Struthio camelus: one gene and its partners. The protein of the gene in region 4 purifies or fractionates together with the protein of the main gene of each other region. This does not show direct contact. Links are inferred from orthologs where the notes say so. Each region holds a gene or a part of one and is shown on either strand. Other genes may lie near its edges. The genes, in order: SH2D4A, PPP1CC, UBXN2A and PPP1R7.

The links.
Region 1: the proteins of PPP1R7 (region 4) and SH2D4A purify together in Homo sapiens (affinity purification with mass spectrometry; 3 studies listed by BioGRID and IntAct, counting the BioPlex papers as one, with this or other methods). This does not show direct contact. The link is inferred for Struthio camelus from reciprocal best matches to the Homo sapiens genes PPP1R7 and SH2D4A.
Region 2: the proteins of PPP1R7 (region 4) and PPP1CC purify together in Homo sapiens (affinity purification with mass spectrometry; 8 studies listed by BioGRID and IntAct, counting the BioPlex papers as one, with this or other methods). This does not show direct contact. The link is inferred for Struthio camelus from reciprocal best matches to the Homo sapiens genes PPP1R7 and PPP1CC.
Region 3: the proteins of PPP1R7 (region 4) and UBXN2A purify together in Homo sapiens (affinity purification with mass spectrometry; 3 studies listed by BioGRID and IntAct, counting the BioPlex papers as one, with this or other methods). This does not show direct contact. The link is inferred for Struthio camelus from reciprocal best matches to the Homo sapiens genes PPP1R7 and UBXN2A.

What each region holds. Positions count from the first base shown.
Region 1 is NC_090945.1:5,625,321-5,632,667, forward strand, and holds the start of SH2D4A (SH2 domain-containing protein 4A), read right to left. Parts: upstream 3,016-7,347; 5' UTR 2,599-3,015; coding exon 2,424-2,598; intron 1,505-2,423; coding exon 1,345-1,504; intron 700-1,344; coding exon 540-699; intron 1-539. UniProt on the Homo sapiens protein: Inhibits estrogen-induced cell proliferation by competing with PLCG for binding to ESR1, blocking the effect of estrogen on PLCG and repressing estrogen-induced proliferation. May play a role in T-cell development and function.
Region 2 is NC_090958.1:18,080,750-18,088,626, reverse strand, and holds the start of PPP1CC (serine/threonine-protein phosphatase PP1-gamma catalytic subunit), read left to right. Parts: upstream 1-4,869; 5' UTR 4,870-5,156; coding exon 5,157-5,211; intron 5,212-7,877. UniProt on the Homo sapiens protein: Protein phosphatase that associates with over 200 regulatory proteins to form highly specific holoenzymes which dephosphorylate hundreds of biological targets.
Region 3 is NC_090944.1:15,830,720-15,837,885, reverse strand, and holds the start of UBXN2A (UBX domain-containing protein 2A), read left to right. Parts: upstream 1-4,147; 5' UTR 4,148-4,288; intron 4,289-4,323; exon of another isoform or gene 4,324-5,793; intron 5,794-7,166. Other genes in the region: ATAD2B (ATPase family AAA domain-containing protein 2B), read right to left, coding at 3,257-3,412. UniProt on the Homo sapiens protein: Acts to repress the ubiquitination and subsequent endoplasmic reticulum-associated degradation of CHRNA3 by the STUB1-VCP-UBXN2A complex in cortical neurons.
Region 4 is NC_090950.1:3,846,207-3,853,130, forward strand, and holds the start of PPP1R7 (protein phosphatase 1 regulatory subunit 7), read right to left. Parts: upstream 3,020-6,924; 5' UTR 2,956-3,019; coding exon 2,913-2,955; intron 2,187-2,912; exon of another isoform or gene 2,109-2,186; intron 1,947-2,108; coding exon 1,824-1,946; intron 1-1,823. Other genes in the region: PASK (PAS domain-containing serine/threonine-protein kinase), read left to right, coding at 3,964-4,048, 4,223-4,438, 5,541-5,776, 6,790-6,924. UniProt on the Homo sapiens protein: Regulatory subunit of protein phosphatase 1.

The DNA of each region.
Region 1 (7,347 bases), on a different chromosome or scaffold from region 4:
AGAAAAACCTTTCTGTAATGAAACATCAAAGCAAGCACCCTAGTCAGCTGCATTTGGAGCTGTCCTGTCCTGTCAAGGTCATAAACTATCTTCTAATTCTTTAGAAGAGAAAAAGAACGTGAAATACGCATTTCAAAGGATGTTGGTAGTATTGCCCTCTCCTGATCTTTTATAGGGGAAGATGATCTGTCTGAGGGCTGTGGCCTTGCATGTGCTGATCCTGGTAGGAGAGCCTCCCTGGTCTTGCCTGAAAAGCAGCCCAAACCAGCCAGAGAACAGGAGAGAAAGTACTGTAATCTCCATTTTACCCATGGAGAACGGAAGCAAAGAAACCCAGCTGGGAATAACCCACAGACCTCCCCAGTCCTAAGGAAGGATGTAACAGCACAACTTCTTCAATGACTGCAGAAGAAAGAAGCCTTAACGGTCAGGTGGCTAGGTTTTTTTTGGATTTTCCTTTACTAGCAATCAGTTTGCTGCACTCGCTACCTCTCAAAGCAAAGACTTCTGAGTAGGAAGGAGAGAAGGAGGAAAAGTACCTCTCTGAGCTCCCAGCTTTTCTCTGTTCTAGTGGCAGTTGTTTTTCTCCCATCTTCCTTCTGCTCTTCCACACTGCTTTTATTGTTCCTGCGAACATCCATCCCACCCAGGACTCCCGGTTGTGGATGCAGAGAGCATGTTACAGAAGAGTCAGTCTCTCTGAAATGCAAGAGAGACAGGACTTAGGAATCCAGGGGAGTAACTTTGTGCTGCCTAAGCATCTGAGAGGAAATCACATGTGATCAGAGCGCTGCCGTGCAGGCATACAGTTATCATATCTCCAGGTCACAGGGAGGGAATAGTTAAAAGTTGTTACTCATTGTGAGTAACTGTCGTCCGGCTGTTCACAGACACCTGTCGATGAATCAGTGCAATCCAAACACATCACCCACTGCAGTAACACGCATATCATCTCCTATGATCTTCAGAGGCTGCCGCACAGCAGCGATATGATGGGAGACTTGAACAGCTAGGGCAGGCCCTTAGGTTGGAGGTTGAGTCTCTGCCAGGATTGCCCATACTCATAGAAAGCTGACATTTCCCTGTGCCTTCGCTCTGCAAGCAGAGTGGGACAGAGATAACCACGCGCTGCCTGGCCCCAAGGCAGAAATCAAAGGAAAGCAAAACATGATTTTATAAAGGGCTCAGGCTTGCTCGCAATGTGCGTGTTAGACTTGTCCACCTGCTTCAGCCTGAGGAGGAAAATTCCCAGAGCAGAGAGGAGAGCCTCCACGGCAGAGACTCTGGCCTGGGTCTCTAGAGAAGTCTCTTCCTCTGTGTGTCCTCTGGGTGAGGGATACTTACCTGGCCTCCTTGCCTTGCTCGCTCGCTAAGCGTTTTGCCCTTTGTGCCTGGATCTCTTCACAGATGGCAGCATACGACTTATCTGATGGATGCTCACCCATCACCCAGACCCAGACATCATTGTCAGCACCGAGCTTCCATTTCACCGACTTCGCGCTGGCTGGAAGAGAAGGAGCCTTTTCACTAATGCTGTTTGCTTAGCAGCCCCATGCAGGGTCTGTATCCTACATGCTGTGCCCTGGCTGCTGCCACTGGCAGAGCCTTTCCCAAAAACAGCCTTCTGTGGGAAAAAGCAGGGAGGTATCTGTGGACAGGGTCCATCCCTGTTAGAAGCTCCTTTGGGACACAGCATGGACCCTCCCCCCCGTTTCATTTCACAGTGCCGGAGCTAGAGTCGTTCTCTGTCAATAAAGGAGATGTTTCTGAGCCCCAAAGGAAGAGAGGAGATACCGCCATTTCCTTTCTTCCTCTACTTCCTTGCCACTGCCCTCTTCAAATGCCTTGTCCAGGGACTGTGTGAGGCTGGACAACCGGCAAACAGAGCAGGTAGGAGACGGCTGGGGGAAGAGGACTCCTCGGCTCTGCGAGCCAGCATGCTGCGTAATCCTGGCAAGGGGATTTCGGGTCTAAAAGCCTAACAGGCAACCCCCAGCAGATTGGTGCCTCAGCCCAGGCAGTGGCACTCGCCAAGCTCCCGTATGACGCAGGCTTGTTGCTGGCACTCCAGGACAGGCATTCATGTCCGTGGTTATTTTATACACAGATTCAGAGGCTCCGCTCAGTGGGACACTGATGAGATGCATCTCGTGACCCAGGGGACAAATAAGCCATGTCTTCCTGGGAAGGGGAGTTTAGTGGTTCGGTGAAGGACGGTGTGTCTGGGCCTGGGCCAGGGAGTGAAACAAGCTGGATGCCAGGCCAGAAGAACCCCCATAGGAGATGGTTTTAGTTCTAATTTGGGAATATGAGTAATGTGTCCTGGGAGAAGAAATTACTCTGGGGACACATTGCCTCCTCTATCTCGGGATCTTGGTCAGATCTGTGTCCAAGGAGGAAGCAGCTGGCAGGCAAAAACTTACCTTTTCTCAATGGTGGTTTCTTGGCTGGAGCCTTGTCTGCGGCAGCTTCTCTTTCCTTCCACCGTCTGATCTGCTCTTGCCTCATCTTGAAGAAGAGGATCTGCTTCTGCTCCTCACTGAGTTCTGCCAGCAGCTCAGGATCAATGTACATGTCTGATAATATCTGTTTCAGCATGGCTGGAGGTTTCAGTTGCACACGTTTGTGGCGATGAGCTCCAGGGATCAGCTCCTCTTCCTGGCTGCAGTATGGCTGCACTGACAAGAAAGAGTCCGTCCCTGCCTGAGCCTGGAGCAGGAATGCAGGTGTGCCAGGGTAATTATACTTCTATCTGGGTAACTTTTTTTTTTTTAGCTCAGACTTCCTGCACAGACTGAAAAAGTAAATACGAGCTTAAAACCTGCTATTAAGATTCCTTGAAATAACAGGTGACAGACACAGCCTCCGCCTGCTCTGCAGGGACAGCTGGCCAGAAGGGAAGAGTTCTGGAGTCGGTGGGCAGGTTGTATTTATGCCCTGATAAACTGAGCTGATACCGTATCAAAACAGGGAAGAGGGCTGCGTGCTACAGTCATCAGAGGTGTGGCTTGTCCGTGCCCAAGCAAACATTCCTGCTGGGCAGGGGATCAATGGACTCAGGACTAGAGGGCTCCTCCTTCTTCGGAAGAGGAAACGCTGTGAAACAGGGCGGCATGATGTTAAGAAGTTCAGCCGCTCTCTTTAACCAAGGAAAGATTGGGAGGGCTTTTGGCTCTGCTCTTGAGGTGGGAGTCAGGAGTTGCCTGGTGGGAATTTTGGGGTACTCCTGTCCATCAAATGTAGTGTCCCAGCAAGCCCAGGGAAGGTGGATTGCTCAAAGCCAGATAATTAAGATTGTCAGCAGCTGATGAAATGAGGCAGCTCCAGGTCTGACATTTCTTGCTGATGTGCCTTCCCCACATGGCAAACCTGGCATGCGCCATCCACACGTGACAAGCCAAAGAGGCAGGGGAGAAGGAGCACTCCTGTTCCTGCCCAGGATGCCAGGTCACAGCTAGTGCATACAGGTAGGGCACCCGGCACCCAAGCAGATGTGCTTTGTGCCAGTAGATTGACCTGTGCAACAGGGGTTTCTCTGGAAAATTAGGAGCACTCCTGTAACTAGAGGAGCTGCCAAATAGGTAGTGCTGGGGGGATGGGGGGAATGGACTAAAGACCTTGAAACCAACTCTTTTGCATATCTCCTCTGGATAAACTCATGGAAACAAGGAGGTTGTTCAGCAGCGCGTTCAGTGACACTGTTGTCCGACCCTGGCGCTACTGAGGGAGGAGAATGCGGGGTTGGGGGGGAGGTGACGACAGCTATGTTGTAAAGTACAGCTGCAGAAAGAGCTGCAAGGGTGGCTTGCTAGCCAGAGTGAAGGCGAGAGGTTGCAGGCGCTTTCTGAACAAGCTCTTAGGAAATGCAGGTTCACTGATACCCATGGTCTATGGAAGAGGTGTTGGGCAGCTGCAGGCTAGGCGCCCTCTCCGAAATGCTACTGCTGCCACTGGCAGCAGCGGGCAGAAAGGCTGAGTCTCAGTGCCTGAGGAAGAGGAGTTTACAATTGTCAGAAATCGTGGGAACCTGCGGTGGAGAGAGTGGGTGCAGGAAGGGTCAGTGTGGTTGGCCCCGAAAGGGAAGCAGATTGCAGCCTCCTGCCATCACAAGGGCCCTGGGAGGAGACTGTTACACCAGAGGGGCAGGCACATGGCGGGGCAAGCAGTTTGTCCACACTCGCCCGAAGCTGTAGAGGTCAGTGACCCCTCGAACAGGGAGGGCAGAATTTGATGATGGTAAAATAGGAAACGATAAGTGGGAGCAGAGGTTTAGCAGGTTGCATGGAAAATGAAGGCTAGCGGGATTACTCCTGTACTTCTACACAAATCCTGGGAGTTGGGGAAACAAGAAGCATAAAAGGCTTAAGAAGCTTCGAGGCATAGCCCACTAGATGGGAGGAAGGTGGTCAGCAGCACATTAATGTGGAAGTATAAAGTACATGGAGAAGATGGACTGGCCCATGCCAGGGAGAAGTGGCAGTATGCATTCACTACTGGAGTCAAATGAGTTCCCTTTGTTACTGTAAAGGAAATGGCTCCTGGGGATCCCCATGGCAGGTCAAGACAGGAAAAAATGTTGGGAGCACCTTCAGCCTCAGCGCATGATTGCTCTGATTTTTGCCTGGAGTCCTCGTCTGGGAAAGAGGTAGAAGAGCAGGCTAGAGAAGGGTAGGGCAGAGCAGCCAAGGAGGGCAATAATGAAGCTTTCCAAGGAGCACATGCATGCAGCCCATTTAATTAGGGAAAATGAGGCAGTGTGACAGCAAAGCTTCCTCAGTCAGCCAGGCAAGATAACATCTCCTGGGCTTATTCTCACGCTGTCTCACCCCGCCTGCCTTCCCCATTTCACCCCCACACCAGACCAGGCATGCCTGAAGGCAGCGTGCCCTAAAGCTGCGAGAGGTAGAGCACTCAGGCCTTCCTGGGGCACCGCCAAAGCATGCCGGAGACAGAGGAGTTGAGGAGCGCCCAGGGCATGGCAGGCTGGAGTCCTGACGCAGATTTGGCAGGGAGGGCCTGAAATGAGCTGGGAGCAGCTGGGGGAGCTGTAGAGGTGAGACAAGGGGCTGCTCAGGGCCTGAGAGGACAGAGGGGTCCCGAGTGTGAGCACAGCCACTTTCAGACAAAGCCAGAAGTAGGACTCCCTGGGGAGGTGCCCTGAACCAGGCAGGGTAGGGTAAGAGCCTTTTTGTCTCTGTTTTGTGTGTCTGACCAGTTGCTTTACATTTTCCCTCTTTGAAAGGTTAATTTAATTTCAGAAACAGGGAGCTGTTGTTCCAAAGTCGTGTTGCTGTTTAAACAAAATGGCTTGATTGGTTGAAAAAAGGCTCTTTGGGGAGCTCCTTGTGGGAGGTAGTTGTGGCTGGGCAAGGCTCTTGAGTGATCCTCTGATAAGAGAATTGCCCCAGCTCAGCAGCCAAAGAAAAGGGCTCAGGCTGTCCTTGAGCGGGGGGGGGGGGGGGGGGGGGGGGGGGGGGGGGGGGGGATGGCAGGCTGTGGAGAAGGAGCAGCTTTTTGCTGTGGGGGGGAGCTGGGGCGCAGTCCCCTCTTCCTAGGGGCATCTGAGCTGTGTGAAACTGCAAAATTGGGAGCTTGCTGGGAGTTTGCTGTTTAACCTTCACTGCCTTCTGTTCTTAGGCGCTGCCTGGAAAAGAAGCTGTTGTTGGCAAAGAGATGAGGGTATCACAAAAGCACCCTTCAGTCAGGCCTGGGTCCCTTAGGCTTTGGAGTTTTTTCTTAGGATCAGCTGAAGTCAGTTCAGTCTGGAGGACACAAGGTGTGGTGGCTATTTCAGATCAATTCCTGTCCTCCAAACAGAATAGCTCTTGGGAGGGTTGCTCTGGTTTTAGGGGATGTGACAATCTCTTTGTGTTTAGCCCAACACAGCTAGTGCAGGCATTGGCCTTTTGAACAGTAATATGAATCTGAAAAGCTTGTGTGGTGTTTTTATTTCTGTAACCCAAAAGTGCCTTGAGCTGTGAGGCAGCGCACACAGACTAAGAGCTCTTTTGCAGCCAGTATAAAGCAGAGTATAAACAACGCAGAAGCAGTATAAACAGTATAAATCATACACGTAAACAGTATCAAAGCATGGTATTAGAAGAAGAAAGGAAATGAACAGCTATTTGTAACTAAGCTGCAAGGTGGGAAAGAAGCATGGAGTTGGTAGTAGCAGCAGGTGTTTCCATTGGGATAGACTGTCCCTCGCAAATGTTTGTGTGTGAGGGTGTACTTCTGTGTGTGAAGAGTTGGTACCCAGTGGGTGACTGAATAGGTGCAGCATGGGCTTGGCACTCCCCTGCCTGTTTGTCTGCAAGGGCTTGATGTGCGTTTGGGGGAACACGGTTTTTGCCTGCAGTTTTCTAAAGATGCCTAGGCTGAATTGCTGTAAGGTGCAAAGTACAGAAAGGTTCAAAATATTGAAACCTTGGGAGAAGTAGTCAGATCTACGTTCTAGTGGTACAATCCGTGTGCCCTTCTGACAAAACCTGCAGCTACTTTGCTAAGTGGAGAGACCTGCAGTTTCTTTTTAAGAGGAGGATGTTATGGAAACAAGTTTGGAGATGCTTGTCTGAAAAACATCCTAGCAGAAAGAAAAGTTGTTTGATTTCTAAAAAGAAAGATTTGAAAAGAGCTCGCCGCGTCTTTGAGGCATAGTGCGCATTCAGAATACCCAGGGTTCTGGGTATCGGCGATGCCTGTTTCACCATGCCGTATGGATGAAATGCTGTGCTTCTACTCTGAGTTGCTGGTCTGTGTGCAGAGGTCTTCAGTTAAGAGCCTGAGGTGTCTTCTGTTTGGAGAAACAAGTAGGGCTGGGTCTTCAGTGGCTCAAAAACAGTAACTAAAGAGGCTGGTAGCTCTGCACATGGACAAATGTGGTGGTCTGGCAGAGATGCCTTGCCTGGGTCAACAGAAATGAATAGTTGTGATGTGTAAAACTGAAGGGGTTTCTAACAGAAGAGACTTGTTGCCAGCAGGGAGGTGAAACCCTGTTATTCCCTTCAGTTGTGAAGGTATAATTTGTGGTGAGTGTGGGCCAAATGCTGAGTGGTTTGTTAAGCAGAGGGTGTTGACTATGTTTGCCAGGGAGAAAAGCCAGGCAGCTGGGCAGGCCTCTCAGGAGCTCTGTGTTCTGTCTGGCTTGGGAGCAGCAGAACTGCTGTTCTCCAGAAGCTCTAGTGACCTTTGATTCAGGATGGTCCCAGCTCCCTGGCCAGAAGGGGGCTTGGAAAGAGGATGGCCCAAAATGGGCCCGAGAGGATGTCCTTGCTGTGACTGAGCAGAGGTTCTGTGCAGCTCTGGCTGGTGGGATTGGCTGCAGCGGACTGGAAGTGCAGGCCCCTA
Region 2 (7,877 bases), on a different chromosome or scaffold from region 4:
ACTGATCTTCATCTTATTTCTGCTTCCATGCTCACCTGACAGCCCTCCTGGTCCTCCACTCTCATTGGTTTTAATTAGAGAAAGAGTTCATCCATGTCATGAGCATGTTATGTCGGGGTAAAATCAGTGTAAGCGAAGAAGCCAGCTGTGTCCCAGCCCAGCCACTTGCCAGTCCCGGGCTGCTAACACGCTTTTCTGGCCAATGCAATGAAGAACATCCCTGAAGTGCTTTCTTCAAGCCACGTGAAGTCAAAGCTGCCCAGAATGTCCCCTTAACCTTTCCAAGGTGCGGTGGCCTCTCCCCCTCTTGCAGTGTCCACTCCACATGGTGGGAAAATTGAAACCCTCTGTAACGATGTCTGAGCAAGCAGACCGAGAGGAGAGACGCTCAGCGAACCCCTTCGCTCCCGGCTGCCTCTCTCCTCCGCAGCAAAGACAAAAAGGAGATTATGTTCGCCCTGCCATGGACCAGCTAAAGGAGGACTGAAAAGCCCTTCGCTGGACGCGTAGCGCTGGCTGCTGCGCACGTTGTTTTCGTTCCCCGTCCTTGAATGGCTCCGTGGCAATCAGCTGAGCCCCACGGAAACCCGCAAAAGCTTTCTAGCTAGTTATGAAACTCGGCCTTTGGCAGAGCACAGAGATTCCCGGCCCAAGAGGGGAAGACAGGGGCTCCGGTCCTTGCCAAAATAGCGTCAACTGATCCATTACGGCTGTTCACCGCTTAAAGCAGGACAAAGTCTTCTTTAGCCCCGTTTCCCCTCTCAGTCTTAGCGATGGACCGGCCCTCCGCCACGCTCGAGCAGGGATGCGCAGCTGCGGCATGACGCGCCAATCTGCTCTTCTCCAAACAGGTCTTGTGCCTGGTCTAGCCTCAAAAGCCAGATCCCTAGAACACACTCCTTGAGAGGCTGGAACGTGCTGGGTTTTTAATCCAAATAGCTATAGCAGGAAAATCCTACTGTGGTCACAGCTGTATCAGAAAAAAAGTGACTTAGGACATTTTTATATGAGAAGGGTTTTACTGGTAGTATTTTTGCCAGTGTGAACTTTCCAAGACTTACCAGCAGAACATTTTCCCATCCAAAAATACCTTTCATGAGAAAGCCTTGAAGTACATCAACTTTGACAAAAAAAAGGTAGGAGGGGAGGAACTGCAAATAACATTTCTACCATGTCTCAAGATTTTTCGAACAGAATCTTTTAACATGTTTTATCGAAAATGTGATTCTAACAAACTTGAGATAGGCTTGTCATTGTTGTTGGCAGTTTCCTTTGCTGGGAGATTTCAGAGGGAAACCAACTGCTGAGACTGTGAAATTTTCGGCTCCGTGGAAAATTCAAGGCCTGGCTTTTGGGGGAGGAGGGGTGGAGGGGAATACGGGCGCTATGCGATGGCAAACGGCTGCGCAGGCAAAGGCTGGGCGCTTTCCCCCAGAGCAGAGAGCGGACTTCTCCCACAGCCTCAGGGTCAAGGTGTTGCACAGGGAAAACAAGGCTTCCTAATTTTCTCATGCGTGGGCTGACGACTTCAGAAAAGCAAAAGTTTGGTAAGCAGGGAGAAGGGAGCGCGGGAGGCGCTCTGCCGTTGGCGTCCGGCCTCTGCACTGGGTACAAATCCCCCGTGAGCCCCAGGGCGAAGGCAGCGGCTCCGGAGCAGCGGAAAGCCTTGCTCTCTCGTTCGGGTCCCTCGCAAAGGACCTGCGCGCCCGCCTGCAGCTCGCACGTCTTGTTGCTCAAGGCAGATCAATGCACTGTATGTTTTGTAAATAAAACAGGACACTAAGAAAATACCTGATTCTGCGTCACCGACTCCTTTCCAAGCAGAACACAGACCCCTACATCTCCAAAGCAGCCTCATGGCACTGCCCAGCTGCTCTTCGTTTGCCTGAAAAATTGCCACCGTCTGCCCCCAGACTCTGGCAACATCCAAAATTTTGGGGTCAGTGAAATACTTTAGGCATCAGGAATAAGAGGCATCCATAAAAAGTTTATCTTGATCATAACAGCAGGCTATCTGGATGCAAACAGTACGAGCTATGAAAACATTTAAATCATATCTGAATATCTAGTCAGGAGAAACAACATTTGCCCCACATTTTTTATTCTTCCAGTGTTTGAACAGCCCTTGTAGATCTTTGTTTAAAATGTACACAAACACATTGAATTTCACGGACTTAGCAAATATGTAATCTAAAGCAAGGGGAAGCGTGGGTGACTCGCATTTCTTAGGATCCACCTACATACTGGAACAAAAAAAAAGGAGCGTTTCATGATTATCTATACATGTGTATATATATATATATATATATATAAGTATATAAAGATATTTATACATCCTATCCCCCAACAGCCCAGAATACGAGCAACCCTACAATAAGCAAAGTAGTATATGCATGACATGAGGAGGACAAATCAGGAGGGAAAGATATTTTATCCTGAGGCTTCCAAGGAATGTTACTCAAGCAGTGATTTATTTGTGGAATTTCAGGAGGGGAGGGAGGACGAGACACAAAGGTCTCACAGCTGCAAGCAAGATAAATCGTACATCATCGTGTATTTAGCAAACTATAATGCAAACTGTAGACAAATACAAGGAAGGGGGAAATATATGAACTCTAAGTTGAGAATTATCAAACGCTTCAAGTCTGCATGCAGCGTTTAAGGGCAAAGGGATATCCCTCATTGTTCCCCCTCTAGAAATAAATCATTGTTCTGAGCAACACTGGAGGAAAAAAATAGTTTCAGGATATTTAACACCTTGGCTGTGTCCCTTTTTTAATCAAGAGAAGCTGTTGTGGGGTGAGGCTTGTTATTTTCAGCAGAGAAAAATTAGCTTATTAAAAAATAACATTGTGGTGGCTTTTTAATAACTGTGGCTCGCATGGAGTTTACTGCTGTTAAGTAAGCGTTCTCATTTTTTGTGTTGATATAGCAAAAATGTAAATGCAAAAGACCTTGTGCAAAAATACAGTTTCCCCTCCGAACAGGAGACCAAGCGTTCCCAGCTGCTGCCGAGACCCAGGAGCAGAGCTGCAGCAAAGCAGGCCGGTTATCAAGGTGATATTGGGGTCTGAATATATTTCCCTCGCTCTGTCACTTCTCTCACTTCCCCTTTGCTATGCCTCTTCTAACGCAAATTGATGGTGCTCTGAACCTTGCCTGATTTGGTTCATCAAGTGAGATATAGTCTCCTCTGAAGGGCCTGATCCTTCCTTCCAGGAGTGTGATGTTCCCGATAAATTTCCATGCGCAGAGGATTAAATCTCCTGGGTCACATGCTGGAAGGTGCTGAGCTCCCCCCCCCAATTTCCCCGAGCATTAACAGGAGTGAAAGGGACTCAGCGTGCCGCAGAAGGTGCTCAGATCCGTGCAGGACTGGTCCTAGGGGAGGGCGTCAGGGGAGAGGGAGTAACAGCTGAAGGATGAGATAAGATGAAGACATTTCCAGCAAAGAAAACAAGGACAGGAAGGTTTCTCTGGAAACGCAGCACCAATTTCCCTCTTTGAACAATTCAGTTAAGTCCAAAGGAGTTTGCTAGAGAAAAACCTGCCCCACAGAATTAGCCGGGATTTGAAAGGAAAGCCTTTGGTGCGAAAGAGCCAGGGAGGGGAGGCTGCCCCTGGGAAGGCGCAGCCCAGGAATAGATGTAAATCTGCAAATGCTGTCACGTTGAAGTAAACCTGGAGTAACGCTATTGTCTGCAGCGGGGTTGCTTTGGGCTTACACCAGTGTGACCGAGATTAGCGTACGGGCTCGGGCGCGCTCATTACGATAAAGCGCTCGCTCGGGGAACTCGAATGTCGAAGCCGCGTTTGGCAACGGCCAGGCGCCCGCGTCGCAGACCGCCTGGCTCTGCGCCCTCTCCTTTCCTCCCTCACGCTGCCTCCAAGGTGTGCTGAGGCTGCAAGTCCTTTGCTTTATCACCCTCCCGAACCTGAACTCTGCTCTGGCCCCACCACGGTAATAAACTGTTATATGAGTATTATGTAACTGTCAGCATGAGGAATCTGGCATGCATAGCATGAGCAACGCACACGGGGAGGAGGAAAGTGGTTGACACAGCCATCCCTGCAAATTAAAGTAGGAGTAAATAAAGCAATTAAACAATATTCAATCAGAGATGCAGACTGAACGCTAGCAAAGGCCTGCACAGCCCCATCTCCCTTGCAAACGCGATCCAATTTACGAGCAGAACCTCGCTTAATTGCTCGCGGCCAAGCCTTTGCCATGCACGAATAAAATAATAATGGAAATGTGAAATAAAACAGCAAGGCGCTCTGGAAAAAAAAAAAAAACGCTCATTTCCCCGGCCGGCCCCCTAAGGATTTCAAAGCGCTGCACAGCGGTACTTAAAAGCAGTCGCCCGGGGAGAGCCGCACGCACCACGTTACTCGGAGGCCTAAGGGCGCGCGCCCGCCGCAGAGCCCCTCGCACGAGCGCCCAGAGCCGCTGCGGCGAGGCAGCTTGGCGTGACCGCGCGCCGGCCGGGCCTCGGCGCCCCGCTGCCGCGTTTCGGCGAGGGAAAACACCCGCGCTCGGTGTTATTTCGCCCCGTTTTGCGGGCCGGGCAGGTGAGGCCGAGGGGCCCGGCCTGCGCCTCGCCTCACGGGGGGCAGCTGGCCGCGGCGGGCCTCGGCCGTGGGGCAGGGCCGAAGGGAAAAACCCCTCGTGGGAGCCGCATCAACGGCTCCCTGCCAAGGGCCTAGCGCCCGCCAGGCGCAGCCCGGCCGCGGCGCCGCACACGCGAGGCCGCACACGCGCGGCGCCCGCTCGCGCCGGACTATTTCGCCTCTTCGCGGCGGCGGAAGGATCCCGCGCGTGCAGCACGCCGTGACGCGCCGCCCCGCCCTCCTCCGCGTGCTTCCCGCGCTGCCTATAAAGGGTTTCCGGTGAGCCGCGTCGCGCCTGTAGTATCCGTGCGCCGGCCGCGCTCGCTGAGGGGAAGGCGGCCATTTTGTTCAGTGCTGGGTCTCTGCTGAGAGCGGCGGCCGAGGGGGGGCGGGGGGGGGACGGAGCGAGAGAGGGAAGAAGGAGCGCGGGGAGGAGAAAAGGAAGGGAAAAGACGAGAGAGACCGAGGAGAGAAGTCAGGCCGGCCAAGCAGCGAGCGGAGGGAGGGGAGCCGCGGGGAGGGGTCCGCCCGGCCGCTGAGAGGCGATGGCGGATATAGACAAGCTGAACATCGACAGCATCATCCAACGGCTGCTGGAGGGTGAGGGTCCGGGCGCGGGGGGAGCCCGGGGAGGGGGCGGAGGCCGAGCCGGTGCCCCCGAGCCCACCGCCGGCTCCGCCGCGGGGCTGCCCCGGCCCCTGAGCGCCCGCTGGGGCCGGGGCACCAAAATGGAGGGGCGCCGAGGCGCTTTGTCTTGCCGGGGCTCGGCGCCGCCGCCGGCCCGGGCGCCCCTGCCCTCCGGCCCCAACTTCTCCCCTAGCCCTCATGTTTCCCGAGCCGTCCCTGCCCTCCCATCCCCTGGGTCCTCCCGGTGCAGGGCTGAGACCCGCCGGCTGGCCCCCTCCTCCAGCCCTGCAGCTCTACGGAGATGCTTAGCTGAGTAAGGTTTTCGTAGGGGAGTGTTTAAAAACCTGAATGCTTAAGCTTGCCTTCGCTACACGCGCACGGGGTCTGGGCTTCGCTAGGTAGTCGTGGGGCTCTGGAAATTAAGCCTTCCCATGTTTAAAGAGTCTGTCGAGGCAGCTTTTCAGAAAGTCGACAGGGGACTTACCTGGGTTCAGGGTATCATATTTTTAGCGCTGATTAACTGCTTGCATTAGTACTACCATTAGACTTTAGGTCTTAACGCGTAACATATGGTGGCTTTTAAAACGCGAATTACAGGTTGGCCTTTGCTCTGTTTTAGACGATATTTGGAAGGGCTTATTGTCCTGTATCGCTAGTGCTTTGGGTTGAAAAGAGTTGAATGGAGTTCAACATCTAAGGAAAATCTAGATGTTGCAGGAGGTGTCAGCAGCGTCTTCCCTTTGGTTGTAAGGGTCAGGATCAGGTTAGAATTGTCAGCTAATCTTTCCTAGGGCAAAAGGTTGAGAAGCAGCCGATGACAAATTTTCTTCCTAGCACCAAGAAAGATTATAATTATTTAGAGAAGGAAGCTAGACTGATCCAGCCTCATTTTAAGTGTGTCAGAGCAGGCATCTCATCTGGATTTTTGCTTGAAGAGCTTGGTCAGGCATTTAACTTTTTTGTTTGGCACAAAGTCATCCAAGATTTTGCTGAGACAAATAGTGAAGAAATGCCTTTGAGCGCTCTCCCAATTTTTTTCTTGTAAAATTTCACTAAATGTCATGACCCGAATAATAATAGGCAAGGCAAAGGGGCAATAGTGCTTCTATAAAATTGGTTGGGATTACAAATCCAGCGGGTGTATTTTGGGATTGTTCAGCTAGAATGAAGAAAAGTAAATAGTGTTTTTTCTCTGATCTGTTTTAGGTTTTGCTTGTTGCCAGTTTAAACTCTCCTGATTTAAGTTGTTTGGAGGCTTCTGTCTGTAATTTAAACCAGTGTTTTCCTGATGCTCTAATACACTTTGTAGGTATCAGGTCCTGTGTGTTACATGCTTGGTGACATATTAATAGATGCTTAATTTTATTGCAGATAGTATAATTTTTATTTGATTTGCTGTAATGCAACTCATGCAGTTTTCTCAAAGTGCAAGTTACTAATATCAAAGACTTGAAATAAGCCTAAAAAAGGTCTGAATAATTTGAATTATTTCCCTTGTTCTGGATTTCAACAAGTAATAAGATGTATTATATCAATATGTTAAATTCTTACCTGGCTTGTATAAGTATTGTACATTGAGAGATGAGAGCTTATAAATGAGGTTTCAGAAGCTTCACTGACAAGATCTTTGAGATGACTGTGTAACAAAAGATATTATTACCTAGGGTTGCGTCAGCTGTCAGAACTGAAATAATTTTTTTACTTTGACATTTTAGTTAGAATTTCTGATTTCTTGGGGCAACAAATGTCTTTTGGTATTTAAAACAATTATGAATGTTAATAACCCATGGCATATTTACACCTATATATTTGTCTTGTTTATTGCTTATTGAAAATATATTATATAAGGTATAATACAGCTTTCTTAGAGCAATGGTTGACCTTTGTGACAATTTCTTTTTTTTCCAGAGAGGGCAAAATGATAATGCGTTTGGGCTAGTGCTGCATTCTTGATAGACTGCTAAATTGTGTGAATTACTGTGCAAACGCCATTCTCTCTGTAGTTGTTTGAAATTTTCTTGACTCATCTGTTTCCTGAGGTTATTAAGATACAGCTAGGTAGATGACAAGATTGATCTAAAGGGCAGCTCTGCGTGGTATCAAAAAAACCAAAAATCTAAAGGGTGTGTGTAAGAGAATTTTTAATCCTTTTTAGATTTGGACTGAGCATGAGAAATTTAAGACATTTGTATGTAGTGTAGTGTTCTTTTTCAATATAGTTCTTTTTCAGTGCAGTTTTAGTAGAATTGCATCATGTTCAGTTATATAAAGTTTGGTATGTCTGTACCCAGGATTCTGCTCCCTTTTCGGGCTGGATTCTGCACTGATTAAAATGATAGCCAACCACATACTCACTACAAAAACTCTTTTAATAACTAGCTGACTCGCAAATTGAATTGCCCAAATCCTTGTTCAAGGTTTAATTTTTAAATCAATTTGATATTTTACCAGTTATACCTATCTTTAAACTGTATGCTTATGTATTTTTATAACAGTTATTTCAGGTGATTTTGCTTAAAAAAAAGTAAAGATATGAATATGTAATGTGGCAGTAATCCCTTCTTCCTTTTTAAAGGTAATAAAATCAATGTTATGGAGATACTTTATGAAATATTTCAAATCGGTAAGAAAATAGTGGA
Region 3 (7,166 bases), on a different chromosome or scaffold from region 4:
ACCTGAAGATCAGAAACTTAGGGTTTTAAATTCTTTTATCCTGTGCTTGGAAGTGGAGGGATTCAAGCCTATCCTTGTAAATGTGTGCAAAGAAACAAGAAGTATCAGGAAAAGCCAAGGGAGGAGGGGAAAAGTGAAATGGAAATGGATAAAAAAAGAGATGGAAGGCAGCTTCTAACCCTTCATCTGTACTATCTGGCCCAATCAACATTGCACAGGATGCCATTAGATTACTAACTCAGTGTTAGTTGCTAATAAGGAACAAACAGATGATCTTTTAAAATACATTCTGAAAGGTAATAACAAGCACTGCCACTAACAAGCATTTCTCTGTAGGGCCAAGTCAGAACCCCCGTGGAAGAAAATTAAGTCATGCAGTGCAAATAAAAAGCATAAAGCGTCTGCCAGATCTCCAAACTCTCGCAGACCGTTAACCAGATAAGCGGCTGGTAGTAAGGCTGGTGCTCTGCCATTACAACTGGCAGATTTTAAAAGGACACCCTGTTCTATTCAACTTTGAAAAATACATACAACTACATGAGAACACTCCCGATACACCTTCTACACAAACACAAGTTAAGTATCCGCCTCCTGACGGGTCACTTCCAAAAGCAAAGGTTTTGTCTTCTCACTGCTATACTTATTCACCTCTAATCACCGAAATCCTTCTTTGGCACTACTTCCTGGAGATTCAGGAGCTCAAAAAGACACTACATCACCCTGCTGTCCCATACCTCCAAACAACTTACAAATTCTTACCACCTGAAGGACAAAAACAGTCATCCAAAGATAACTTTAAAATATGGTGGGAAATACATATTACAATATATACTCAAAAGAAACAAGAACGAAAAAAAAAAAGAAAAGAAAAACCTCTCTGAGAACTCCTATTCATCTTTGGCAATTACGTCTAAAAAAATTAGAAAACAAACAAACAAAAAAAATACCTGCCTGAAACACAAGTGATGTGTAGTGAAACAAGTCCATTCCATCATGCCAAAATACACACTTGTCTTTAGAAAAAAAAACGCTTTTGGAGAATTATGCTTGGATATATTTATAGATTTTAGGATAGTATTTTTCACAATCTCCTTTCCTTACACCATGACAATACCATAACCTCTACGATAACTTTGTAATACAAAAATATTATTTAGAGATGAAAAATATTTGGAAAGAACTCCAACTTATTATCTTTTAGCAGCAGTAAACTCCCCACGCAGTAAGCCAGTAAGGGTTATGCCAAACTTTGCCTCACAAACCACAACAAGACCCATGGTATGAAAAAATAGAAACTGCACAATGGAATAAGGAGGACAGCTTTTTACAGCTATGGTGCGGCATCCCCATGAGTCTAGTAAAATCAAGCAAGGCAAGAATAAGGGATGCTGAGGTAAGATGGTATGGAAAAAAAGGAGAAACTGTGGTGCATTAGAGAACTGAAAGAGGAGCACAGAAAGTACAGAACAAGTATCTAGTCAGTAATTTTTTTTAGTATTTGAAAACAAAAAGGACAGGGCAAAAGGTTTTCTGACAATTCCAGCCGTCTTTCTTCTGGCTGCTATTGCTGTTTTTCTGCTTGCCTGGTTAACTTCCTCCTTAGTAGGGGACAAGACTCGGTCACCTGGTGCATGACTGTCAACCAGTCTGACCCTCAGTTTTCACTTCCATAGCTCCTAAGTCTTTCCTAGTACTCTGCTTTTAAAATATGTATTCAGACCAGAAAACTATAACTGCTAGTTTAAGTCTTCGAATCAATACATGCAGTTCTAGCAAGAAAAACAGCCCTCTGTATAAATAAAACGTCCACTGAGAAAGACATAGCTGTCAGTAAACCTACTTAGAGACTCCAAGGAGGGAAAAGAGGCTCCTGAATTCTCTCTTCCAGTTACCATTTACCAGACACCAGCTTTCCAAATTAGGCTGCGGAATTCATTTGCCATTAGACCACACAATCAAAGCTATTATAATAAGTTATGTCGGGAAAACATTCAATTAAGCATATCCAGCGAGGGCAAAACAACATCCTCCCCGCTCTTTGAGGGAGGTGAATCACAGACGGGGGGGGGGGGGGGGGGGGGGGAACTTGCTCAACCGGCAGCTTTTTGTCGCCGAAGCTGCTGCGAACAGTCCCTTCAGAGGAATCGAGGTCATTTAGGGAAGGAAGGTGCGGGGGGGGGAGAAGAGGGAAGAAACAGAGGAGGGGAAGAGGATTGCGAAGTTGCTGCAGGCGCAGCTCCCAACTTTTGTCTCGCAGCGGGGGCAGTGCCGGGCGCGGCCGCAGGGGGAGCTCCGCTCAGCTCCGCGCCGCCGCCGGCTCCCCCGGCTCCGCCGCCCGGGCTCCGGCCCCAACTTCGTCCCGCGTCTCCCCGGCGGCCGCCGCCGCCGCCGCCCGCTCCCCACGGGCCCGCGCGCGGCCGCCCCCAGCCCCTGTCACCGGCCGGCGCCTCTCGCCGCCCCGGCGCGCAGCGGCCTCTCCCGCCGAGCGCCGCACCGAGTTGGGACGCGGCGACCCGCCACAGCCTCGCCCTCTGCCCCCGCTCCCGGGGGGAGAGGCTCCCTGCCGGCTCCGGGCTCCCCCCTCGCCCGGGGCTCCCTGCCGGCTCCGGGCTCCCCCCTCGCCTCCCCCGACCTCGGGCTCCCTACGGCCTTTACAACGTCTTCACCTCCGGCTCCGCGGCTCTCTTCACCCCCTCTCACCCCGGGCTCCCCGCCGGCTCCGCGGCCCTCCTCAACCTCCCCAAACCGGGCTCCCCACCGGCTTTACAGCCCCTCTTCACCCCCTCTCACCCCGGGGCTCCCCGCCGGCTCCGCGGCCCCCTTCACCTCCTCTGACCCCGGCCTCCCCGCCGGCTCCGCGGCCCTCCTCAACCTCCCCAAACCCGGCTCCCCGCCGGCTCCACAGCCCCTCTTCACCTCCTCTGACCCCGGGGCTCCCCGCCGGCTCCGCCGTCCTCCCGTCACCCCCCCCCGCCCCGGGGCTCCCCGCCGGCTCCGCCGTCCTCCCGTCACCCCCCCCCCCCCGCCCCGGGGCTCCCCGCCGGCTCCGCCGTCCTCCCGTCACCCCCCCCCCCCCGCCCCGGGGCTCCCCGCCGGCTCCGCCGTCCCTCCTCTTCCCCCTCCCTCCCGCAGCCCGACAGCCGTCTCGGCACCCCCCCCGGCTCCTATATCCGCCCCCCCTCCCCGGCAGCAGTGGCGCTGTCCCCAGCGACTCCCCGACCAAGGCCCTCGCCGCCGCCCCCCCCCCGGCCCTTACCCGCGCTGCCGCCGCCTCTTCCAGCCCGGCCGCATCTGCCTTGGTGCCCCTTTTGGAAGAGCGGGTGCGGGACGAGATGAAATGGCTGCCGGCTCCGGCCGCAGCGGCCGCCGCTTTGCCCAGGGGGCGCAAGGAGCTCTTCCTGGTGTTCACCATGGCCCCGGGAGGGGGGACACCGGGGGGGGGGGCGCCGCCGCCGCTGCCGCCGCCGGCGCGGAGGGAGGAGGGAGGGCGGGCAGGCGGGGGCTCGGGTGGGGAGGGGACGGGGAGGGAGAGGGGGAAGGGGGAGGGGGAGGAAGGCGCAAAGCTCCTTGCGGGGAAGCCGCTCCGCCGGGCAGAGCCGCAGACAGAGCCGCGCGGGCTCCTCCTGCCGCCGCTGCCGCCTCCTCGGCTCGGTCACACTCTAACTGGCCGCCATTACTGTCCCTTCTCCCTTTCTCTGCCCGGTGCGCGGCGAGGCCGCCCGCTGCCGCCGGGGGGCGCTGCGGCGCCGCCGCCGCCGCGCGCAGGCCTTGGCGGCCCCCGCTGCGGACGCTCTAGCAAGGCGCCGGCGCGCTCTATGGGCCTGGCGCGCGCCGGGGTGGGGGAGGCGGCGGCGGCGGCCGGCTGCAGGCGGCCGCGTCCCCTGGGAGCGGAGCCGAGCGGGGACGGCCGGGGCGACCGGCTCTGTTCAGCCCGCCGTCCCCACGGGAGAGGGAGCGGGGGGCGCCTTGCCTGCCGCCCTTCCCGGCCAGGGGGACGGCAGCTGCCGGCTGCAGGGCGGGGAGGCCGCTGTCCTAGGGGAGGGGGGGAGGGGCGCAGTCCTGTCAGGCTGAGGGAAGCGCGCACCGCCCGCGCCGCGGCGACGCGGCTGAGGAGCGAGGCCCGGGGCGCAGCGGGGCCCGCGACGTGACTCGCCCACGGCCTGTCAGGCCCTGAGGCCCTGGGCAGGCCGGCCTGGGTGCTGCGGGGGCCGCCCGCCGGGGCTGAGGAGCCGCCGCGCCTCGGCGTTGCCGCTCGGGGCGCGAAGCCGGAGGATTACTGTCCGCTTAGGTGAGAGGGAGGGACAGGGAGGAAGCGGCTGGCTCAAGGTCAGGGAGGAGGGCTGAGAGGTGGCACTACCTACTGCCCAAACCTACCGCCGGGCCCTGGGGCACACGAGCTTGCCGGCCCCTCTCACCCAGGAAGGGTCTTTAAAGTCAGTGACGTGACACCTTATGCAGATAAATACACCCCAAGCGTAGGATTTCCACCATCTTTTGTGAAAAACTGTTTCACAGACTGGTGAGTTTCTTTCTTCAAGAAACTTCCTGATAGCCAGACTATCAGAAATGTTGCTGTGCTTTGCCTGCTGTACAAGTCGCAGATAACACCCTCTATCTTTTGCCCAGTAGCCTTAGCTTGCATTTGATGTTTATCGCTCAGTACTCAGCTTATTTTCCTCTTATTTGTCTCCTTCCTTTATTTAATAATCTCATTTTAGGGAGAAGAAAAACAGTACCTATTACAGAGCACTGGATGCTTAAGAGATTTTCAGATTATTTATAAACAATAAGGCAATCTATTTTCACTGATGTGCATTGGGAGCAGTGAGAATCACTTCTCTCTCACCACAACTTGATGCCTTTCATTAAACTTACAGCTATTACAGTATACGTAAGCCCCCAAACCCAAAGCTTCGTAAAAGGAACGTAGCTTAGTAATACGAATATAGAGGTCTGAGCAACAAAGCCTCCACCTTTAATTCTATTTTTCACACTTCCTTGCCATTGCTAGGCAAGTTATTTCAGTGTTTTGTGTTTCTCTAACAAAAAGGAATAGGATAATAAAATTAGTGATCACAAGGCTCAAGCTCTTAGGCTCAAACAGTTTATCAAAGTGTTTTTATTCTTTAAAGATAGCACTTGAAAGAACAATGCTAAAGAACAATAAATGGAAAAACTGTTCTTCTGCTTTTCCTGCATACTTCCACATCTTCCTTTTCGAGAATAAAGTCTGGAAAAGTACGATATATAAAATATGCAACTATGCCATTAGGATATTTAATAAGAAAATGGCCTATTCAGATTTCCAAGCAAATATTTTCTTACTGTGTACAGAGATAAACTTTCATTTTTATGAGATAGTCCAAAATACATTGTGTTTTGGGCATGGAAAGTAGGATCTTTTTCTCATTTCACATTCTTTATTCAGGGCTGTTAATTCGCATTAGCAACATTGCTTCATATCCTGTTTAAGAATCTACAGGGTCTTTCAAAAGTCTTAGTTGTTCTGCTCAGTGAGATTAGTTTTGTTATGTTTTGTATCCTTTATTTATTCATTTATTTGTTTATGCTTAATGGTTATGAAAGGGTGCCACCATTTCACAGACTTGTAGCTAAAGGAACAGTTTCGTTAAAAACCTACAGTTTTTGAAAATGATAGTTGGAAACCGCTTTCCTTTTGTCCTTGAAGAACTGGAATAGGAGACTGTAGGAGGCTGTCCCTTACCAAGTACATTGAGGGAAATGAACCTGGAGAGAAGTTTGCTGAGAATCACAAGCATGATGACAGATAAGGTACTTTTTAAATTCTGTCCTGTAACACTGATAAGCAATGTAATTCAGATACTGAGTCCAAATTCTGTTCGTGTGAAAACAAAAAATAATAAATTGATCTTCAGGCTTTTTGCCTGCATCACAAAAATCTTACCCCATTTTGGAAAAGCAGCAGATCAATCTGTGGCCCCAAAAAGGGCCCGGATTGCAGTTATATTGAATATCATAACTCAGGACTGTAATGCATTGGCAGGACTGTTTGGGGAAGCTTGCATAACATCTGTTTGCAACATGCCTGATTCAAACCAGCACTCCCCCTTTCATGAACACTGATGACTTTTTATAAGTAAAGTAAACTTCATCGTTATGCAAGCAAATGGATTTTCTTGGGTGCCTATCCACATCTGCCTGAAGCAACAGGAAACCCACAACTTAAAAGCTATTTATTTTATATTTACTAAATATTTTGACAATACTTGTGTCCTTTTTATAATGTTCTGATCTCATTCCTGTGAACCCTACTCAAGTGAGTATTCCTTACGATGCCAGAGGGACTACTCTTGTAGCGGGATTACTGTAGTTAAAAATCCCTGCTCACTGCTTTGAGTATTTTTAATGCTTTATTCCCATTATGTTAGCATAGAGGGAAACGTGTAAAGACATGCTTCATTTTGGATGTTTACTCCCTTGATTGTTTTTGGCAGATGGTTTTATTTTCAGGTTTTGTAGTTGTCTTGTTATTCTTACAAGGCACAGCTAGTTATTTTGACTGGAATAGCTTTCCACTTTATAGTCTATGTAAGCTCCATCATCGTTTTTAGTACTGACAATGGAAATGAATAAATTGTAAATAACAAGGTTTGTTAGTTTTGTTTGGGTTTTTTTTTCTTTGAAATAAAAAGGACATGTTAACATAGGATTAATATTTTATATCACACATACTGAGAGATTTACATGTGGTTTAAGAATAAAAGACGAAGTACCGTAGAAATAGATTTAGAGTAATTTCCCTAATCCAAGAATTAACTTGTTGCCATTTTTTATATCTGTGGCTTGTTTCAAGTGTCATAAAGAAAGAGAACAGAATTAACAACCCGTTTTGACCCTCTTCAGCAATCCATACGCAGCCTTGTGGAAAAAGAAAAACTAAAAGAACTCCTGAGCAGAGAAAGACAAGGCAATAGAGAAAGGAAAGGGCAAATGATTGGAGCCACACGCCACTAAATATTACATACAAATTTTGTAGGGCTCATTTCCAGTAAGATTCAATTTGAAGATCTATAGTTTGGTCTTACGGACATATGTCTAAATGCTTCTGAAAATAAATGCCATTGGGAAGGACTAAGTTTCAAAGGAAGTCAATTTATAACAAATGCTGGAGCTTACCTTTAAAA
Region 4 (6,924 bases):
GGGAAACCCAAATTCCGCAATACAGAACAGTAGTTACAGAGTTACGTAATTCCACAGTACCACAAGTATTAATTAAGAGTCTAACTGCACTTTTTAACTGCAAATGCATGAAAAATGTTATAAATATCTAAGCTATAAGCTTCCTAAACAGAGCTGCTATTCTTCAGAAAAATTAGCTGAATGAAAAATGTGAAGTTTCAGCTGCTTGAGTTCTCTCTATTTATGTTCTTCTGTGGAAAGCATGGAAAACTGTTCGTTGTCCTTCACCTGGGCAACTCAACAGCTGCCTACCGAAACTAACTCAAACGTTCCAAAGTTATTTCCTCTGCTTGGTCTCTGTTCTAGTTGAAGTTTGCTGAATCCTACCAGCTCAGAAGAAGAAGAAATGACAATACAGTCATTAAATAAAATAGTCCCAATATAATCCATCCACCAAATCTGAATTACCTTCCTGCTTTAAACTGTAATTAAAGGAAAGACTTCAAATGGCATATTTTCATATTATAATTCCCAGAGGAAACAACATACAAAATATAACTTTGAACATGCAGCTAAATTACGTTAGCTGAATGAACGCTCATTATGCTACATGCGTGCAAAGGAAAACAATGAACGACTGATCTGCTTGTTTTGCTGGCCGTACAGTGCTTGCGCTCTACAATTCCCAAGATGTGCTCCTTCACTTTCATAGACAACATCACACCATTTCGCAATTAATCACAGAAAACTATATGTTAACAGTGAATTATACCTAGAAATAGAGATCATTTAATTAGGAAATGAGAGTTCAAATTCTCACAGTAATTTACTACTTTAGAAACTATTTTTGCAAACTCTAAGGGACAAGGTTAAGAGGGATTTGTAAAAGAGCAACAGCCAAAAAGGATCAAAACACAGCGGAAAAAATTGCTATATTGTTTCACTTTTATTTCCAGGCCAATAGTTACTCGAACGCGTCCATCAGAAGGACGCTATTACATCTCAAATTATCAGGGCGTTCTAGCTCTAGATCTATTAGAGATTTAACTCTTTTTACTCCAACACCCACCAACCAGCACCAGAAGTTCACATAATGTTGCCAGCTGGGGTCTTCAGAGATGGATTTGCTCTGATAGAGTTTAAGCAAGTTACTGAAAAATAAGTCTTTCTATCAAACACACACAAGCTTAAAAAAAGCCTGTCAGAATTTCTACCGCGCTATACTAGTGTAAACAGTAAAAACAGTAGCAGGAGTTCCAAATCAAGAGGATTCAAACATTCAGATACAAGTATTTTGATACATCTTATAATTTGTAAATGTCTAAAAAAACTAAACAAAAGAATTGAAAGCTTCCTTCGATCTATCTAGAAATAGTCTCCTTTGCCTTCCAAACAAATCCAGCAATTTAAAAGTAAAAAAACTACATAACACTAAAGCAGAGATATAAAGAGCTGTTTCTATTCATTTCTAATGAACACTTGCAGCATCTTTCTATAGGAAGTTGCTACTACTTTACCACAAGATAGGTATTAGTAAAGATGTTTCATACTTCGATCTTAAAGATTTCAAAGAGAAGCGTGGTTTCACACACGGGTAAATAAAAAATAATAATAGGAAAAAAAAAATCCCCAAAATCTAATGCCAATGGTTCCATAAAAAAGAGGCAGCTCTGTTCTACCAATGACTACCTTACCACTAATTTTCTCAAAAGAGCTCTAAGAAAAAATCATGAGGTTAATAACATTACCACATATAGCCATGGAAAAGAGAAAGGATCGATGCACAGATACTGCTGTAAGTAAGAAGATCCCTCCTAGGGTGATCAATTAGATTGGCTGGGTACCTGTGCAGTTCTCACCATTCTGCTCCTCTTTCAGGCTCTGCTGACTGAGGTCTGTTACTAAGCAAGCTGCTTGCTTCTTCCCTTCTTCATCTCCCGACTCCTCCGATTCAATCCGCTTATCAACTGCACAAAATACATAACAGCAGATTTAGGCTACTTTCGTGAGCGGGGCAGAGAAGTAGCAAACAAATATAATAACCAGGACTCACATACACCACTATGCAGTTAGTAGAAATCCTAAGTTAACTAAATTAAAGGTTTAGTCTTAAATAAAAGGCCTCTTACCCCTTGTTTCTAGTTTGATTTTGGATGCACTTTTTCCTCCCTTCAGATCTTCCTAAAACCAACAATCTGGGAAGAAGACTGGAGGAAAAAGGAGATTTCTTAGATCAAAGGAGTGCAGATCCAAAGATTACGGAGATGGAATTATAATTATTACATTGTAAAAGCTTTTAGGAAAAAAAAAAATCAGTATCTTGTAAAACAGTAACAAAGACGTGAAGTAGTAAAAGCTTCACAAAAAAAAAAAAAAAAAAAAGAAAAAGCCAATCCCAGCAGATAAAGTAACCATCTCCCCAGCGTGATCGCTCCATCGTTTCCCCAGCCGCAACTCCGGCGGCCGCCCTGGCCCCGGGGAGCCGAGGTCCTTCGTCCTGGGCAGCGCACAGGCACCCCTCAACACGTACACTCCCCTCACGGGGTGGCCGAGGGGAAGCAACGCCATGCCAGGGCGCCGCTTGGTATTATCGTCGGGTTTTCTTTTTTTAGGTCACGCTCACCTCCACACACCCACTTCTGCCACCTCCCGCGCCTGCAGCCCCCCGGGGCGGGGGGGGGGGGCATCACGCTGTGCCCCAAATAGCAGCCCCACCCTGGGCGGCGCAGCACGGCCCAGAGGCCCCCGACGCCCCGGCCCCGGCCGGCAGCCGCCCCCGGGGGGACAAACATCGGAGTCTCCCACACCTCGGAGGACCCGGCAGCCGCTCCGCCCGCGCCCGGCAGCCGCCCCGCCGAGCGGCAACGGCTGAGTCGCGGCCCGCCCCGGCCCCGCAGCGGCCGCGGCCGTGCCGGCCCCCGGCGGGCTCTCACCCTCCATCATCTCCTGCGGTCCCTCTCCGCTCTCCGCCGCCATGTTGCTTCTCCTCCCCCCCCTCCCCCGCCCCCGCCCCCGCCCCCGCCCCCGCCCCCTTCCGGAAACCGTCGCAACGGCCGCCGCCGCCAATCAGAGCCCGCCGCCGGCGAAGGGCCACAGCCAATCACCACTGCAGGTGGTGCGCCGTAAGGGGAGGGGCGGGGCCCGGGCCGCCTGTCAGCTCCCGCGCATGCGTGCGAGCCCGAGCCCCGCTGCCTCCTGGGAGTTGTAGTACCCTGTGAGGAAAAGGAGGAAGCCGCCTGGCATTACTGCGGGGGCGGGGGGCGGTTCCCAGCCCACCAGCAGCCCCTCGGGCGTTACGAGCTGTTTCCGGCTTTTTCGTGCCGCTAGGGAACCCTGGCCCTTGCAGAGGGCTGGTCGTCCTCGGCTCCCCCACACACCTCCTCCCAGGCCGCGAGAGCGGGCAGCCCGGCGCGGCCCGGCTCGGGGCTGCCCGCGGGCAGGCATCCAGGCATCGCAGGGGCGCGAAGAGGGCTGCGGCGAGGGACAGAGAGTCCGGAGGGCGCTGCCCATTCCGCAGCGCTCTGTCAACGCGCCTCCCGCCGCTGCCGCCCCGGCCCGGCCGGGGCCTCCTTGGCAACGGCAGCGCGCGGCCGCCGGGGACGGCTTTGCCCGTTCGAGCGGCCCGCCGCCCCGCGCCTCGGCGCCTGATTGGTTACCCCGCGTGCCGCTCGCCCACCGCCTTTGCTTATTGGGCAGCGCGGCCGGAGAGTCCCGCCCCTTGTTTGCTCGCGCCCGCGGCTCTGTGGTAACTCTCTGAGGGGCGGCGCGTCCGGGCCGGGCCGGTTCGGCCGGGCCGGGGCTGCCCCGTGCAGGGGCCGAGGGAGGACTGCGGGGGGCTGGGCTGGCCCGGGCTGCCCGCCGCGGGCGGGCTGGGGAGGGTGGCCGGTGCGGGGACCGCCCGCCCTGGGCGGGAGGGAGGCCGTGCGGCGGTGGCTGAATCAACGTCGAGAGTTACTGCACGAATAACCTGCTTCTGCTCTGAAAATGAGCAGAAACGGGGAGCGAGTGGTGGCCGGGGGCTTCGGTCGCTCTTCTGGAAGCGCGCTGGCGAAGTCCTGTTGTGCCATAGGTGATGCTGGCAGCACAGACCACAAGTCCCACCTGGCCGGGCAAAAGCTAGTTAGCGGCAGTCTTGCCACAGCTTGCAGGGCTGTGCTTTGGACTAGAAGGCCTGTTCTGCCAATGCTGTGAGCGCTATTGCCTGACCGCGGGCCTGACTGAATTTGTTACGCTTCTGTTACAGGTGGAGGTTTTCTAGGCGCGCGATATGGCAACCAGGCTTTGACTATGGCAGCCGAGGCAGATAGCTCCGCTGAAGAGGGCTTTTTGCCTTCGTCAGCAGGCTTAGCCCTTCATCACTTGAGCGATTCTGATAAGCTAAGTAGATCCTACCCCTGGGCCAGCAAGAGCAGGAGAAGTCAGCTTTCTGAACTCTGCCGGCGCAGAGCCTCTCTCTCCGGTGAGCACATGAAACGCATGTGAATGAGTTTGCGTGTTGTCAATGAAGACGATGATTATTCTTTCAGATGTTTTCAGCTCTTCTTTCTCCCTCCCCCCCCAAAAAAAAAAAAAAAAAGCTAGAGATGATAGCAATAAGCAGCTATTAAAAAGCTCTTATTCAGGCTGGGAGAGTTCTGGGAGGACGTGTCGTAGTATGCTTGCTTTGTATTGGTACTCCTGCCTGGGCAACCTTTATTGGCTGCCACTGGACCAGGCTGTCCTGGGCTTGCAAGATACTTGGTGTTCTAAATATTATGTTCTAAAAAATGAAAAAATTGCCAAATAGGGAGGAAGACGATATTACAGTAGAACCTGTTGAGGAGGAGGAGAACTTTTCAGTTTCAAGCCTGTCCAGATATGGATGTCTCTGTTTTATCATGGTCAGCATATCCATGCTGCATGCAGTGCATAAATGCAGAGGTGTCCTTGTAACGACTTGTTCATACCGCGTCCTCCAGCACAGCTTGCCTTTGAAAGCTATTTGCCCCTTTGGGCGCAGAGTTTGTTGCCGATGCCACTACCTGAAGAAACGCTTTCTACAGGCAGAACTTCTGAAAATTTTAGTACAATCTCTTGGCACTGCATAACATAAAACATTGGTGTGGGCATAGGTATTTCAGTGTCAGCTCTTGTGAGTAGTTAATTTACTGGCTTCTGACTAACTCAGTATTTAAAGAGGGCTTGAACGCTTACAGTAATTATATTTAATAACAGTTTTAATTTTAACTTGAGAGAATTCAAAACCTATCCTTTAACTCTGTTATCTTAAGCGAAAGGAAAGTTGACTAGTCTGGTTGAATTTTATGCATGTTGGCAATGTTTTCTAGCCCGTGAACTGAGTTTAATTGTTCCTGTGACTTACAAAGACATGTTTATTAGAATTGTTTCTGTTATCTTTAGTTTAATTGATTTTGGTATTTTGTAATTTCTAGGAAGCGTATGTTTTGAGTTGAAATTACTTGACAGCTATTTCAGCTGACAAACAGTTTTTTTATTTATTCCTGTAACTACTCCTGTAGTAGACTGCTAGAGCTACATAGCCGATCTTTATCTTCTCACAGGAGAGAAATGGAGCTCTTATTGTTTGTCTTCGCTGGCGGCTCATAACATTTGTTCCAGCAAAATTGGTAACTCTTGGGCTCGGTGGGATTCTGCCTCTCTCTCCAGTTCCATTGGTAGTCCTGCTTCTTGTTCCTTTTTGCATGCCCTTACTGTGGAGGAATCCAGCCAACACCTTGTAACTACTGCACGCAATCCGAACAAAGCCGTCTTCACGGTGGATGTCAACACAACAGAGGTACTTGCCGTATCTGTTGCAGTACGAACCGCTAAACAAAGCAATGCGTACCTAGTATAGGTTGTGTGACATCATGTAGGCTCAAAAGCTTGTTATTCCTGTGTTTGTAGGCAGTGTCCAAATTATGAAGCTTTTTGATAGTCTGCTCAAGCTCAGTGATTCTACAAAGACGGACAATGCATGTATTTCCATTGTAGGTTGTAGTCGGTAAAGTATACAGGACAATATCAGAAGCACTGATGTCTTGAGTCTTTTTTCAAACAGAAAAAGAGAATAAAGAAGAAAGCAGTTGTGATGTGGCATGAGGGAAGAACAGAAAAGCAGAAAATGTTTCGAGCCTTATGACAAGGAAGAACCTTCACTGGGATGGGCTCATGGTGACATGAGGTCTCTGTCTGCCCCAGTACATATGCCTTTTGCACTGGGAGAGAGAATTTCTCTGTTTTTGTCCTGAGAGTAAACGTTAGTATGAAACTGAGTACTGAAAACTGTAAAGCATTGTTTCCTTTTTAGCTTGAACTAACAGTTCAGACCTCCCCATCATAAAGAGAGAGGGGCTAGACACTTAATTGTGACTTGGTCTGTAAATAGGCTTAAGGCTGTCAATTGCTGTGGTTTTTGCACATCTTCAGGGCTCGATAATATTCTGTGGCCAGCCCAGATTTTCCTTGAAAGTGCAGCTCTGTGGTTTTGCCTCTGTGGATATAATTATTTAAACAGCACAAGAGGCTGGAGGGGATAGGCAGTTATAAAGCCAGAAGCTTAAAAGGAAAGCCATGTCTCACACCTTCTTAACAAAGAAGAGGCTTGGGTGAGGGTTGTCCTAGAACAAGAAGTTTTAGTGAGTTGAGTAGTAAGATTTCAGAATTAAAAAGGGCTTCTCCGTTTCCACTGAGAGAGGAAGTGATATTATAAGACATTAACAGATCATCATGCTGTTGCTTTAAAGAAACTTACAGCTCTTCTGTGTTTTTTTTTTCCTTTTTTTTTCTTTTTCCTTTCTGCTTTTGTAGATTCTAGTGGCCAATGACAAAGCCTGCAAGCTGCTTGGATGCAGTAGTCAGGAACTCATTGGTCAAAAGCTGTCCCACTTGATATCAAAATCCAGTCAAGATGTTGTGGAAGCTGTAGGTGAGGAGTACATAGAA